3 linked regions of the Struthio camelus genome follow. The protein of the gene in region 2 purifies or fractionates together with the protein of the main gene of each other region. This does not show direct contact. Links are inferred from orthologs where the notes say so. Each region holds a gene or a part of one and is shown on either strand. Other genes may lie near its edges. The genes, in order: NUSAP1, KPNB1 and RCC1.

Region 1 (5,027 bases), on a different chromosome or scaffold from region 2:
TCCACCTTTACACCAGTAAAAGTCTTTCATAAAGTTCTGTCTTAGTTCTCCCTCTACTTGCATGTGATTTTAGAGGGGAGAAGAAAAAAGTTTTATCCCCACCTCACCTTGAAAACCTCCTCTCCCTCAGTCATACAACCAATACATATTAAAAAGAAAAAAGGGGGGGGGGGGGGGGGAGAGAGGAGAAAACAACCAGCCGAACACACCAAGACACTCGCCCCACATACTTTGAAATTGAGAGGAATGGGAAACCTCCAGCCCACCAGAGCAATTAATCTGCCTTGTAGTTAGTCTGTCTCTATGTATAGTTCTTCAGAAAATAATCTAAGAGTTACCTTTTAATAGAAAAAGGAATTCATATGAAAAGGCAATCACAGAGTTTCTGTGAATTTTTACTATACAGGAAAGTGAAAACAGCCTGATTTTAGATAAGTTTCAAAACTTGCCTAACAATCTCGTGAATACTATGATGAACCAATGAAAATAGTCTTATATTCTGATAAAATAATTTGAATGATACAGTCTTTATTTGATCTTTTTCTTCAATAATATTCCCTCCCCCCCAAAAAAATGTACAAAAAGAACAAATTATATGTTCATTTTGGAGTAGTGTATAGTCAAATTGGACAAAAACAGAGCTATAAAGCACAGAAGACCAATAACACTAGTAGGTCTGCATACCAAAAAGTGAATGTTACCTGTTAAACACTGGTAAAATGAATCAACTCCGTTTAACTTATGCTTCACTACATGTGTTTAGCGGAGGGAGGACGGGGCAGACACTCAAACCCAAGAAACGTAAATCACCTCTTTCTCAGCAGAATGCCCTGTATTGTCTTCACTGCTGTTAGTTTCCTCATTGGAATTGTTTTTTTTTCTGGTTGCTTTCTTTTCTTTTCCACGCCTTTTTGTGATAAAACACACTGGATCAGGCATAAGTTCCTCCTGACTGTTCTGTTCATCCAATTCGATGGAAGCAGATGCACTTTCTTCAGAGTCCTATATCAGATAAGTATCATCATATGAAACATATCTGACATATACTACAAAGAGACAGCCTCAGCGTTATTATCGGAAAAGGCGTGGTCTTTAGTAGCACAGCAATGAATGAGTGATATCTAGGTTTCCTTAAATAGCAAGCTGATTATTGGAAGACTGAGACAGAAAACCTACAGTTGTTTCATTATATGCACAATATTCTACAAAGACATTTAAAAAAACCTAATAGTTTATATTGGAAATTTGACTTGCATGATGCTGTGATCTGCCAAGTTTTTACATTCCTATGGAATAACCTTAAAAAAAAAAAGAGAGAGATACAACAACAGCATTCTTCCACACTTATCATACCAGACTGTAATCAGATGTTGGAAAAATATGTAATATATTCAAGTTGTTACTCATGCGTCGAAGCTTGATAAAATTAAAAATAAACTGACAAGGATTACACAAGCTCTCCATATTTTAAAAGAAGCAGATTATAAAGGAAGCATTTAAAATATATGGTGTGTTTTAAATAGATTCTAATTTACTTTTGTCAAAAAATGTATAAACATTCCATACTCAATGAAATACTTACAAAAGGGAAAGCTTTAGGAAAAAAAAAAAAAAATCAAGAAAATAACATATTAAGAGATGATTAAAGGAAAGGTTCTCTTCTCTTATAACATCAGTAAGTAAACTGTAGTAAATGGAGAATGCTTTGAGATGAATACCCAGTCCCTCCCTCATCTAGGCATTTTTATATTTAGTATTGACTAGCACTTGGAGCTAAAGAGGCAAAAATTAAGATTTGGTCAATGGAAATTGAAGTGTTAGCGTTCACAGGGGATAATTTTGTGCTTACACTGAAAAAATACACTGCTGTTTTTGGCATGAGGGGGTGGGGGGAAAAAATAAAAAAAATCAGCCTTCAGTCATACACACAACCACTTTAAAGCTAATATCAACACATCTATTTCAATCAGTATGCAAGTATACTGAACACTGTTTAAAAAAAATATATTTTTTGTTACAGTTTGCACCATGTTAAATGCGACATTCACTACATGCCATACTTTACTAGTTACAAAGTTAGATTTATCTTTCTTAAAGAGAATAGCTAATTTCTCATTATTACCATATTTTCATTTTCTTGTTTTGCTCCATGAAAATGTTGCTTCAGTGCTTTCAACAATTTGTCTGCCTGCAGAGAAATCAAAACATATGAACTAAAGATTATATTAAGTCATCAGACACTTGCACAAACCCTATAAGCACCCTAAAAATCAGTCCAAACTAGCAAAGCACTTGCTGAATCCAATAAAATAGAACTCTTAAAGCATGCTTGAAGCCTCATTAAAGTCAGTCAGATTTGAGAACATACTTAAGGCCCAGGCTAAATATGTAGCATACAAAGAGAGATTTCCCCGACCAGATTTCTTCTGGTCTAGCTATTGTCCAGAAAGGTCGATTGTTCTAGGATAAAAGAAACTATTTCAGCAGCCTAACTGAATGCTAATAACATTGCACCCAACTTCTCTAATAACTTTTTCCCATTTCACACAATACTATATGGAAAGCATTCTCCTCATCCCTTCTGTATATTCACATAGAATAATAATAAAAAAAGACACACCATCGATGTTTTAATCTATGAATAAAAGACTTTAACTGGAAAGGTCAGCATAAAATCAGTTCTGAACTAGAAGTTACACACAAAGTAACAGAGAACCAAAACCCCAAGCAGAAGCCTCAGTCCTGTGAGGACAATTAATCCTTGATCCAAATTACCACATAAGTGGTGCATCTGGGGTTTCCCTCTGTCTGTTTTTAAAGGCTGTACGCCTTCTCGCACTGGTGGTGCGGGTCTGACTTCTGCTGAGGGATTTACCAGCGGTACCTGCCAAGATCAGGCCAGGCTGGGTCACTGTCATATACCCGTAGGGCCCTAGGCAAAACAGATGGGCACATGCTTTAACTCCTTGTTCTTAATTCCTATCGGTAAGTAAAAAATAATCACTCTCGACCCTTCAGGCTCCCCGTGGTTACCACTCTTCCCAGCCCCAGTCGGATGAAACGCCCGCGTCGGCGGGTACGGCCGGCGCGGCGGGGGCAGCGCGGGCACGGCGGGGCTCCACGCGCCAGCGCAGCCCGGACGCGGGGCGGTCGGGGGCCCGGGAAGAAGGGAGCCCCGCCTTCTCAGCTTCGTCTACAGTCTCACGCCCCTAACTGAAGGCGGTAAGGAACGCTTAAGCGTCAAACTATCAAACTGCCGGCTCCACGCCCCAGGCCCGAGCCGCGCCTCTGCCGACACCACCTCCAGACCGCAGGTTTTCTCATCGCAGCGGCCGAAAGCAGAACAACGACCGCGGGGCCGCCGGGGGCACTCGACCCCCACGACGCCCGCCCGCCCGCCCACACTCCCGCCGCTCCCGCTCGGCTCCGCCGGGCCCCTCGCTCCCCCCGGCGCCGCCCTAGAGCTCCCGGCCGAGCGCAGGGGCAGCGCCGGAGGCGAGCCGAGCCGAGCCGAGCCGAGCCGAGCCCGCCCGCCAGAGCGGGCAGCCCGGAGCTCCCGCCAGCCCCGCGCCGCGGCGCCGCTCGCTGCATCGCGGCCGGGCAGCCGCCGCGCCGCCTCACCCGGAGGTTGGCCTTCAGGCCGGCGGCCTTCGCTATCCGCTGGAGCTCGATGTACTTCAGCGAGTCCAGCTGCTGCAACGAAGAGAGCGCCATGGCGGCGCGACCACCGCCCGCCGGCAAGCCCCAACCGCCGCCTTTCGAATCTCGCGCTCAACTGACACGGCGCCTTGCCCCGCCCCCGCCGTTCGAACTGGCCCGCCGCGCCCTCCCACTGGCTGATCGGAGCGAAGGGGACGGGCCCGCGGGCAAGGTAACCACCAATAGCGGCCCGGCCACAGGGATCGTGTTTGTTTCAAAGGCGATAGGCGCTCCCGGTAAGGGGAAACCCTGCCCCCGCCTGCCTGATTGCCCAATGGTCTCAGGCGAGGAGGATTGACTTGTCTCTCGCCCAGTGGCAACGCAGAGCTGTGTCCCACGCTCCAATGGGGAGGCCGAGAAGGCGGGTGCCGCTCTCGAACGCAGGGCGGGAGAAGATGGCGGTGAGGCGGCGGCTGCAGGAGCTGTTCCAGGACCCGCAGCTCGGCGGGGTCATCACCGTGGAGCGGCCGCCGCCGCCCCCCCCCGCACCGGCGCGGGTCCAGCCGCCGCCGGCCCAGCCGCCGCCGGCTGCGGGCTCGGCGGAGGCGGCGCGGCGGCGGAGGCTGCGGCCGGAGGAGTGGGCGGTGTTCCAGTGCCGCGGCTGCCGGGCCGTGCTGGGGGACTCGCTGCACCTGTGCGCGCAGGAGGAGCGGCGCCTCGGGCTTCTCGCCTGCTTCAGTCAGTGCTGCCGGGGCCGGGGCTGCGGAGCGAGGGGTGTCCGGGCTGGCGGGACAGGGCCATAAGCTTTTACTAATGCAGGTTTTAATACCGGAGCGGAAACTTCCAGCCCCGCGTTAGAAAGAGGCCCGTTGTGCGCCTCGGCGGGGCTCTGCGTCGCCTGCCGTGCTGGGGGGCGCTGGGGCGACCGGCCGTTGCTCTGGGGTTGTTCACTGGCTCTGCCTTTCTTCGTAGAAGTCACAAATGAGGTTGCTTGGGAAGAGTCGCTAATGATCGGCCTTGAAGGAGCCCTCCTAGGCTGGTAGGTAACGGACGTACCTCTTGCTTTTGACATCAAGTTTTAGTCATCAGATGAAATAGGTGGACCAAAATAGGCCTCCCCAAAGTCAGAGGGAAAGAGTTCCTGCACGTTTTCTAGCTGGGGCACTGAGATGTCTCGTGGAATTGATAAAGTCCTAAGTGATTTTTGGACCTGTACTTCATAACTTTGAACTGAAAATTCTTTTGTATATGTGTAGCTTTAATTCTTATCAAAATCAGAAGAAGTTTTGTCAGCATTTACCCTTGTTAACGGAGAGAGAGGAATGTTTGAGCAATGCAGTAAAAGGTAGCCTATAGCCTTTTACCCTTTTTTTTCCTCCTGCTCCTGC
Region 2 (5,027 bases):
TCCACATGGTTTGTGGTGTAGGAATGGGACTATCAGTTAAAAACAGTCAGTTGTTTGGATGATGTTAACTATTGCCAGCTCCTTGCAACTCAGAGTTTTCCCCTGCTATGGTCAACCAAACTCTCTCTCCCTCATTTATGCGCTCAGAGATGGCTGCACTTGAGCAGTTACCGTACCTGCAGCGCATCCCGTTCCCAGGAAAGCAAAATACTGCAAGTACAAAGCACGGTTAATCCAAGAAGTAGGAACACCGTGAAGAAGGGAGTCTAACGTACATCTGCGTCGAGCGCTGAGCGTTCCTCTGGCATGAGGAGCAGGGCTCTTCCGATTCCTCCCTGCCTACAGGAAGAGTCAGGTTGACTGTAACTAGGTAATTGTCCCTTCTCTCGTTGGCCTTTGTATTTAATCCCACAATAGAGCCTGATTGTGTTACTAATTGCTCTCTCCCGGTGCGCAAGCCACAAGAGACCTGCGAGTCGCAGAGCCCGCCTTTACCTGGGTTTAATTATTCAGCTGCACCTTTGTTCTGCTCCTCTCCTTTTTTTCCAGGCATTCCTCTGTTAAATCCTGCATCTTGTGGAGTTTGAGCTAGGCCTCATGCGTGCTCAGAAGCTGGTGCGGCCATCTCCCTGCCTTGGGGCAGTCCAGCGCCTGGGCTGGACAGGGGCGTGCAGGCGAGCGCGCTGGTGTAGCAGCGCCTCTCCGGGAGGGAGGAAGAACGAGGGGCCTTTAGGTCATTTTTGGTGGTGTTATCACTGCACCCACGCAAGGGATCGCGTAGTCCTTTCCATGGGGGGGGGGGGGAGAGGAATAGTTGCATAAACACAAAACCGTGCAGCCCGGGTGTCACTTGTAGTATCGTTGCTTGTAGGAGCGGCGGTTACAGCCTGGGTTGGGGCCTCTGCTGTAAAGAGCATGCACCCCTGGAGCATACAATAAAGATCTACCTGAACCTCCACCATACCTTGATTATCCTAAACTGTGCCACCGCTGACAACTCCGTCCAAGCTGAAAGCATCTCCCGCGACCTCCCAGAAATCTCCCAGGCTTCACGTCCTGTGCTGCAACCCCCGGTTCTTCAGGGCTGCGGGGAATTGCGCCTTGGGGAAACGGCCCCGTTTCCGCCAGCTGATGCAACTGCGCCTCCCCTCAACGCTCCTTAAAACTCGAGGCACCTTGGTGGAGAAAGCGCGCCTTGGGCCAGGCTGCATCGTGCATGGAAAACACAGCGTGCACGGAGGCTGCATCGGGCATGGAAAACACAGCGTGCACGGAGGCTGCATCGGGCATGGAAAACACAGCGTGCACGGAGGCTGCATCGTGCAGCGAGCACGCATCCCTTACTTGTAGCTTTTAGGTTAATACTAGGTTAAGGTTAATACCAGGTTAGGATCCCCAGCGGGCGGCTCCTCCGCCCGGACCTCCAGGGCCCGGGCAGCGCCGGCGGCGGCGGGACCCCACGGCGAGCGGGGGCGCGCGCGCGCGCGCTGCCGGGCCCGGCCCGGCCCCACGTGGCCGCCCGCGCCGGCCCCTCCCCCGGCCCCGCCGCGGGGGCGCCCTTTCCCCGCGTTGCCCAATCAGCGCGCGCGGCGCCGGAACCCTTTTCCCGCCCCTCCCTTCCTCTCCCTTCCAGACCAATGGCCGCACCCCTACCGGCCCGCCGCGCCGCCGGCCAATGGGAGCGCGAGCCGCCGGCCGCCGCCGGCCAATGAGCGCGGCGGCGCGGGGCGGCGGGCCGCGGGCCGTATCCCTCCGCCGCTCGGTGTGCGCGCGCGCGCCCGCCCCGCTCGCGCGGCCCTTTTCTCCCTCCGCCGCTGCCACAGCCGCCCGCCGCAGCAGCCGGAGCAGCCGCCGCCGCCGCCGCCGCCCCGCGAGGTCTTCCGCGAGCGGGACCTCCCCCCTCCCCACCCCACCCCGTTCCCTCTGCCGTTTCTCACGGGGGAGGCTCCTTTCCCCCTCCCCCCCTTTCCCTTCACTCCCCTCCCCCCCTTCCCGGCTCGTTCCGCTCCCCGCACGCCGGTGCCGGAGCCGCCACGCCGCCGCCATGGAGCTCATCACCATCCTGGAGAAGACGGTCTCGCCGGGTAGGGCGCGGGCCGGGCCGAGGCCTGAGGCGGCCGTTAGGCCCGGAGAGGCCGGGCGGGGCGGAGGCCGCTGCCGGCGGCGGTGGCGGGGGGGGGGGGAGGGGGAGGCCGCGCAGCAGCCCCGCGGGCTGCGGCCGGCTGAGGTGAGGCGGCGGCAGCCGCTTGGCTGAGGGGAGCTGGGTTGGGCGGCGGCGAGCGGGGCCGCGGGAAGGGGGCTGGGAGCGCGGCGGGAGCCCGGGGCCCTCAGGAGCCGGGGCCCGGCGGGAGGCGCCCCCGGGACCTGACTGACGCCGGCTTCCCCCTGCCGTCTCTCCTCGCTTCCCCGGCAGACCGCTCCGAGCTAGAGGCGGCGCAGAAGTTCCTGGAGCAGGCGGCCATCGAGAACCTGGTGAGAACCGGGGAGGGCGGCGGCGGCGGCACCGGGCGACACCGAGCGGGCGGGGGGGGGGGGGGGGGCGCGCTCCCCTCCCCCACCGCCCCGCCCGGCCAGGCCGAACCGCCATAAAAGGCGCAACCTACCTCGCCCGCGTCCAGCCGGGGCGGCGGCTGGCCAATCGCGGCTCGCCCGCCGCCTCCGCCGACCAATGGCGACGCGGCGCCGGCAGAAGGGGGGAGGGGCCGCGCTAGGCTGCGCCGCGCTGCGTGTCCGCGCCGCGCAGCGCCGCGCCGGCTGCGGTGGGAGCGGCCCGCGGGGCCATGTGCGGCCCCGCCGCCTCCCCGCGCCCCGCCGCGGCCCCGGCCCCTTGCCAGGGTGTTTATATCTCTCCTCCAGCCCCTACCCCTCCACTTTCCCTTTCCCCCCCCCCAACCTTTTTTTTTTTTTAATTTATTTTTTATTTTTTTGCTGAGCTCCTCTCCTGGCCCACTTCCCGTCTTTCTCCGCCCCGTTCCGAGCCCATCCTCGAGGCCTTTCCCCGCACGCGTGCCGGGGAGGCGGCTGGGGAGGGCGATGACACGGTCGGGATCCTGGTGGGGGAGTCACTGTGCTGGGTGGGGTCAGGAGAGGTTAAGATTGATTAATTTACCTGGAATGAATGGGGAGGGGGGGAACTCTGTTTTCGAGAGGAAAAGCTTTATCGCACCAAAAAACGTGCTTATGAAAGTTCTCATCGCCCTATTCCTTTCCAAAAAAACCCAGCTTTTTTATATATGTCCTAAAATTGAGGATGGTGTAGAGAAGTTTAACTCTCCATCGAAGGAATATGATTTTTTGCTTAGTCAAGGTGTATTATTGCAACTGTTTCAAGGCTCTTACAGGAGAGGGCTTGCGATGCTAATTTGCTGTCCTTGAAGGAATCCTAGCTCATTTTAACAGAGGTGTGTTATTCATGTCACTTCAGTATTCTAGTTGTCACTCACTGGTTGTTACGGTTACTAGCAAAATTTATTCTTCCTTTTTAAACGGTCATATGTGCATTTGTCTCCACTTGTCTAAACCACAAAAGTAGTGTGGTCTTTGTTGTTGTTACATTTTAAGCAGTGTGAAGCGTCCCTGAGAATCATAATTGACATAGTTTTTACACAGAAATGTCCGTTTTGATTCTAATTTTGTGAATGGCTGCTTGTTAAATCTTAGGATCCCCTAAAAATCTTATAACCTCAGGGTTAGGTTGACGTTCCTGCGCAGTGTTATATGAAGCATTTTGGATTGACGTCCTTGGGCAGCTCGTGATTTTATGCATTTCAGGCTTTTGAAAGAGCTGGGGGATGAGCCAGTTTCTCAAGGTTTCATTTATACCTGCTTTCTTGGCTCAGAGCGCAAAAGCGAGGTCAAGGCAGCAAGCAGAGGAAGCAGAATTTGTGCTGGTGCGTGAGGGATGAAGTTTGTGCCCTGGTTTGGGAAGGGGTGTGGGTTGGTGCAGGTTCCCAACGGATGGGGGCCGAGGAGTCCCATCTCAACCGCGAGAGTGATGAGTGCAGTGAGGAAGCTTGGGTTTGTCGGAAGAAGCATAAAAGGTAGCGTAGGAGAGGAAGGATGCAGGGTTCTGGGTTGTTCGTAAGTGGTATGTGATTGGGAAGAACTCTAGCTGGGCCTGGAGGAACAGGAAGGAAGTAGGGAAGAGGTAGGAGGTAAGGGATTGGGTTAGAGGCTCTGTGCTGGGGGCTACTGGTAGTGGCAGCCAAGCAAACAAAGTCTGAAATGAACTCCCAGCTGGTTAATGGAGACTTATCCAAATATGCTTATTCTTTCTTTTCCCCTCCTGTATTTAATTTAGACCCTTTTCTGAAATTTTTCATTGGCGTTTTTGTAAGTGTGGAAGTCATATGCATCTGCATTTGGTTTGGATCTTAATGTAATGCTTCTAACTTTTAGCAGGAATTATATCAAAGTTCCTTAAAAAGACTTTTTTTTTTTTTTTTTGTTAACTGATGAGAGAGATCTCCAAGGGCATTTCCTCAAATTTGGAATTCTAGTCAGGTTTCCTTCTCAAAGGTGGCAGCAACACTTTTGTTTTGCCCTGTGAACTTTTCTGAACGGTTTCCCATTTCTGGCACAGTAGAACTCAATGTCTCAAGTGTGAACATTCTTGATGGATGAGAAGTGTTTTCTTTTATTATGGTGTATTTGTACATTTTTTTTTTATGTAGAGCATTAAAATGTCAGGATATTTCTGACTGGACAACTGGATGACTGTTTTGTTTCCAAATTCTGCATTTTGACTTTTATCTACTAGATAGCCTAATTAAGATTTTTCAAGAGGCAAACTTGATCACTGAAAATGTAAAGTCCAGGATACTGGGCATGCTCTTTGTTTCTATTGAACTTTTAAAAGTTAAGCTAGTTTAAAAAAATAACTATTTTTTTGGTGCCCTAAAATCTTTGTATGTATCCTAAGTTCTGTTATACAGACTTTTAAAAATTGGTTAGATGCAACTATATATTAAATGGAACGTTTTCTGGAAAGCTGCATTCTTCCTTGTCTATTTGGTATAAAATGGTTT
Region 3 (5,027 bases), on a different chromosome or scaffold from region 2:
TGCAGCTCCAGCTGGAGCCCAGGTTGTGAATTACAGTGAAGCAGGTGAAAGTCACTTGCAGGTGTAGGATTTAAACCAGTTTGTGACAGGATGCAATAGGAAAACAAGCACTTGCCAGCTCAGAGTTAGAAAAAGACAACCAGCCTATCTAGGAAAGTGCATGTCAAGAAGAAAGCACATCTATTTGCATTTGCCCTTTCCCCCATGAAAAATTTACATGCCATGAGGTGATCTGCAACCACTTCAGCACAGTTCCAAGCCAGGCGCAACCTCAAGTCTTGCCAGGATCAGCTCAAGCTCCAGAGAGCAAGCAGACAGCCCCACTACCCCCATACACCCTCAGCATTCAACCCATGAGCCAGCAAGTTTCAAACCAGGTACCCAAGACAGACAACTGCTCCTCCAACCCTCCCCCACAGGCATTCACCAGCCTCACCATCCGGTTCAAGCAAGGTTCATCGACTCTCAGAGCAAGGAGAAAGGGCATTCTCCCAAGTTAAATAGCCCATGAGCTATTTAACCCATGAGTGGCACCTCTAGGCCAACTCCAGGCAGACTTTACAAGGCAGCTGTGCTGTTCTCAGACTGCTCTGCAGAGCTGGACTTACAGCTCACGACCACACGCTCGCTCTTACCACGTTCCTCGACTGTGCACGCTCCCTTCAGGTCTCCTCCCACAGCAACCTTCAGTATTTTGTCCTTCAAGGCCCTTTTCCTGTTTAGAAGTTTGTCAGGACAAACACCCCTCTGCTCTTTGTGCCCATTCCACTGTTTCAGACTGTGAAACAGGTTTCTCGTGTAACTCATCCTTATGTTCAACACCCAGGGGTAGATACATGCTCCACTGACCAGGTGGGGAACATTGCAGCTATGAAGCAAAGCTGCTGACATTTAAGTTAAAAGTTCCAAAGGGGTTCATAGGTTCAACAGGAATAAAAAAAGCCTCTAAAGCCTTTGACTTAATTGCAGGGAGAAAATATCTCCCAAAGTATGAAGGATATTTGGAACTTAAAGCAAAGGCACTCCACACCCTCCTCCCCCACCAAACCCTACAGACCAGGGAACTCTGGTGGTTGTAAAGGATACAAAATACCATATATTTATCGGTATCCTCACCAGTATATTTAGTGATAATCATGCTGCTGCTATGACCTTCCTAGCTCAAAAGCAGGCATCACTGGAGATGACGCTGGGCAGACTCTAAAGATCTTCCGAAGGACAACCCTGCTACATTAGCTATGAAACCCTAGAAGTTTAGTCATGGGTCCTGAGCTTCAAGGAATGAACAAATGGCCAACAGTCATGCCAGAAAAAACAGCCATACAACACCATTTCAAAGTAATTTCTTTATTTGTCAGGCATAGCATCACAAACCTCCAGGACATTCACAGAAGTAATTCAAAACTTCCTGAACAGACATTAACACAAGCTATATATGACTTTCACGCCATACTCACACTCTTTTGCCTTCTTCCCCAGCACCAAACAATTCATCTCACCTACAACCAGAAAGATTCACAATGGCTTGCTTCATTTCTCTGGCTCCATTTCAGGTTAAGCACCACAGACAGGTTATCCAAACATTTAACAAGCATTCTCCTAGCTTGTGTAGACAACGTGCACTGGCACACTGATTTCAGGTGCTGTGCACCACGGCCCTTTGTTCCTACAGGCTTTCTCCACTATGTTCCTCAGAGCGTGGCTAAGCCGTGCAGGGTCAGCCCTGCTGAGCAGGCCCTGCTTCACTGTGCAACATTCAACAGTTAGCATGCCATGCAACCACCAGGGCCTTTTCTTCTGATACAGCAGAAAACAGCAGGCCCCCAGAATGAGCACATGCTATTAGATAGCCAAATACAGACATCTTCTCCTTCCAGCCTACTCCAGTGTCTGCGGTCTCATTTTGATTCAACACTTTGCATGAATTGGACCTCATCTACTTCCTCTATTTTCTGGTTGGTAGAGGTGCTCTGAGCATACTCACCATCCCACTAGGCAGACAGGTTACTTTCTGCTGTTAGCATCTCACACTCAGTCAGGGTCTGCAATGTTAAAAAAATTCAACAACAAAAAAAAAAGAATCTTAAAACTTGGCAAGTCACATGGGTTTTTTGCTGTTTATGATCTGCCAGGAAGCACTTTTGTTCTCCCCCTTCTGTAAGGGGCACACAGGGTGCTACGATACTAGCATATATTTTTTCAAGGGACCTCTATCTATTCTGTTAATCCATTCTGCTCATCCATTAAATACACCATTATCAGGTACAAGTACCAGGTATCAAGTACAGGACAGTCACATGCTCCCAGTCCTAAGTAATTGTGGCCCGTGGCTTCTTTCAATGTAATCCCAATGCTCCAGTACCCAGATCAATGATCCACGTTGTTCTTCACAGATGATGTTAAAGTCTGCTCTAGGACTGATTAACATGAGCACATGGGCGATTGCCCCAAGCTCACTAAATCCACAAGTACAATTCAACCATACTTCAGAAACGAATTTTTTTCTATTTTTTTCCTTAAGATTCAGAAGTTAACCTCTCTTTCCCCCCCAATCCATCTAAAGTCTTGTGACATCTCAGAAGTGGGGAAATATCTAAAGCTAAGTTTTCGCTCTTAAATAGTGCCTACCAAGTCTATAATGGTATTCAATTACCTCAAGCTGTTGACCCAATTCATTTTGCGTAAGCCAGCTAAAGGAGTATAGTTCAAGCTTCTTTAGAGAACAAACTATTAAGAGAGCGGCATAACTACAAACACGGAACAATATTACATTACTAGTGCAACATTACCTTGAAAAATCAACGCCCCATTCACTTCAAGCTTCTCAAGCTTACAACTGAAATAAAGAAAACAATATTTTAAGTAACCGCTTGCAAATTAGACCTCATTCGCACTTCTCCCCAAAGCACGCGCAGCGGCTGCCCAACCCCAGCGCAAAGCTATCCCCGAGTTACAGTATTTGTCTCCTGCATGGTTTATCTCCTCCGTCACAGTCCGAGGACTCGGAGAAGCAGTAGGAATATGCAGGCTGCAGACCCGAGGCCCGGCTTCTTCTCCAACGTTGTGGAAAGGGACTGTACGTCACAGGCCCGAAGGCCTACGCTCCCCCGCGCCACACGGACAGAGCCGAGAGAGAGCTACTTCTCCGGATATCCACGTTGGGTTTAGCTCCAGAGCGCCGCAGCCACCCTCAACCCCGGAGCCCAGGGCGCCCCCGCTGCCCCCTACCCCCGCGGCGACACCTCACCTCCGCCCTCTCCGCTCGCCGCCCACAAAGAGACCGAGGAGCTCCGCGCCGCGGAATTTATAGGGCGGGGCGGGGCGGGGCTAGCGTTCCGCGCATGCGCCGCCGGCAGCAGCGCGAGGAGACTGCGCAGCTGCAGGTTTCGATTGGGCAGCTGGTCCGGCGCGTGCGCAGTGTGGGGGAGGGGCCGGGAAGGGCCGCGCGTGCGCAGGGAGAGAGCGCGGGAAAAGGGAAAGGAGCTAACAGCGCGTGCGCAGTGGGAAGGCGCCGGGACGGGGCGGGGGACAGCGCGTGCGTAGCGGGAGGGCGCCGGAAAGGGGCGGGGGGACCGCGCATGCGCAGTGGGAGAGCGCCGGGAAAGGGTGGGGGGACGGCGCGTGCGCGGCGGGAGGGCGCCGGGAAAGGGTGGGGGGACGGCGCGTGCGCGGCGGGAGGGCGCAAAAGGCCGAACCCGCAGCAAACGTCCCGGTTTTTTGTATTTCCCCCTAAAGCTGGCATCGCCAGCCGCTGCGGAGAGGAAGAGGAGTCCGAGCATTCCCTCCCCTTGCCCAGTCCCTTCCCAGAAAGTCCCTTTGAAACGCAGCTCTCCCCCTCCTCACACCATGAAGCCATAAAAATCAGTCTTTTTAAAAAACAAATCCTAAAATACTTTTATTCAATAATTAAAATCTGTTGAGGAGGAGAAGGATATACAACAATGCAATGATTTAGTCCACAGCCATACTGGGGGGAGGGGGGGAAGCCATGAAGGAGGACGCACCCGCTGCCCAGCATGGCGGCAGCAGGGGACAAGGCCGCGCGGGCCGCCCTCGGCTCGGCCTCGCCCGGGAGCCGCAGCGAGCGGTGCCGACGGTCCGGGCGAGGGCAGGGGGACCCCGGCGCAGCAGCTCTCGGCACAGCAGGCCCCAGGGAGTGGGCGCAGAGCGGTGCCCAGGCCCGGCCTGCGGCGGCCCCTCACCCTGCGGTCGAGCGGTCTGTGAACAAGGCGAGTCCTCCCGCCCCGCTGCGCCGCCTCCCCTCTCCCCTTCCTTCAGGGCTGGTGGCATCGCAGCCGCAGGGCTAGGCTTTGCGCACCAGAATTAAAAATCCAAACACTCAGGAAGAACCGACAAGAAATCATTCTCCAAAGAGAACGAAGAGCTGTTTTAAGGTCACTTTTTAAACCTCTTCTCCCCCCCCCCCACCTTCCACCCACACAGTGAAGTTATCAAGTTTCCAGTAGGTTTTGCTGTTTTAAAAAAAAAAAAAGAGAGAAAAGGCAAGTTGCACCCTGATCTGTGAGAATTAAAACAAAAAAAATACAGAGGAAGCCACAATAAAAAGAACTAACTACTATCACAGCTTCCCCAAATTGACTGTTGCCTTTCTACAATGTTTTAAGTTCCTGGCTCTGTAATTTGTTAAACAAGCCTAAGTATCTCAAGGCAAGATCTGTTAACATCAGAGCAAGTGTGAGAGAGTGGAGAGGGAATGTTTTTATACATTTAAGGGTTTTTTTTTGTTGTGTGTGGGGGTTTTTGTTTTTGTTTTTTTTTAAACAAAAGATGCAGCATATGTTAATATCTATACAATTCCCTTCCAGGACAACAAAACCATTGGTCAGTAGTGATTCAGGACATTACGTACATTACAGAGACAAGCAAAACCAAAAAAAAAAAAAGAAGAGAGTCACATGTCAGTTGTCTGCCAGGTCAGCATCTGTGCAGGGTTTCTGTACACAGCTAATATACACACGTGCTTCCTGGCACATCCGCTTCTCCATTCCTCAGCTCTCAAACACCAG

What was found.
Region 1: the proteins of KPNB1 (region 2) and NUSAP1 purify together in Homo sapiens (affinity purification with mass spectrometry; 3 studies listed by BioGRID and IntAct, counting the BioPlex papers as one, with this or other methods). This does not show direct contact. The link is inferred for Struthio camelus from reciprocal best matches to the Homo sapiens genes KPNB1 and NUSAP1.
Region 3: the proteins of KPNB1 (region 2) and RCC1 purify together in Homo sapiens (affinity purification with mass spectrometry; 3 studies listed by BioGRID and IntAct, counting the BioPlex papers as one, with this or other methods). This does not show direct contact. The link is inferred for Struthio camelus from reciprocal best matches to the Homo sapiens genes KPNB1 and RCC1.

What each region holds. Positions count from the first base shown.
Region 1 is NC_090946.1:41,227,914-41,232,940, reverse strand, and holds the start of NUSAP1 (nucleolar and spindle-associated protein 1), read right to left. Parts: upstream 3,810-5,027; 5' UTR 3,715-3,809; coding exon 3,622-3,714; intron 2,189-3,621; coding exon 2,123-2,188; intron 1,003-2,122; coding exon 811-1,002; intron 1-810. Other genes in the region: OIP5 (protein Mis18-beta), read left to right, coding at 4,095-4,377, 4,612-4,678. UniProt on the Homo sapiens protein: Microtubule-associated protein with the capacity to bundle and stabilize microtubules. May associate with chromosomes and promote the organization of mitotic spindle microtubules around them.
Region 2 is NC_090966.1:5,915,531-5,920,557, reverse strand, and holds the start of KPNB1 (importin subunit beta-1), read left to right. Parts: upstream 1-1,708; coding exon 1,709-2,084; intron 2,085-2,413; coding exon 2,414-2,472; intron 2,473-5,027.
Region 3 is NC_090964.1:6,353,011-6,358,037, forward strand, and holds the start of RCC1 (regulator of chromosome condensation), read right to left. Parts: upstream 3,335-5,027; 5' UTR 3,248-3,334; intron 3,163-3,247; exon of another isoform or gene 2,958-3,162; intron 2,837-2,957; 5' UTR 2,790-2,836; intron 2,043-2,789; 5' UTR 1,985-2,042; intron 1-1,984. UniProt on the Homo sapiens protein: Guanine-nucleotide releasing factor that promotes the exchange of Ran-bound GDP by GTP, and thereby plays an important role in RAN-mediated functions in nuclear import and mitosis.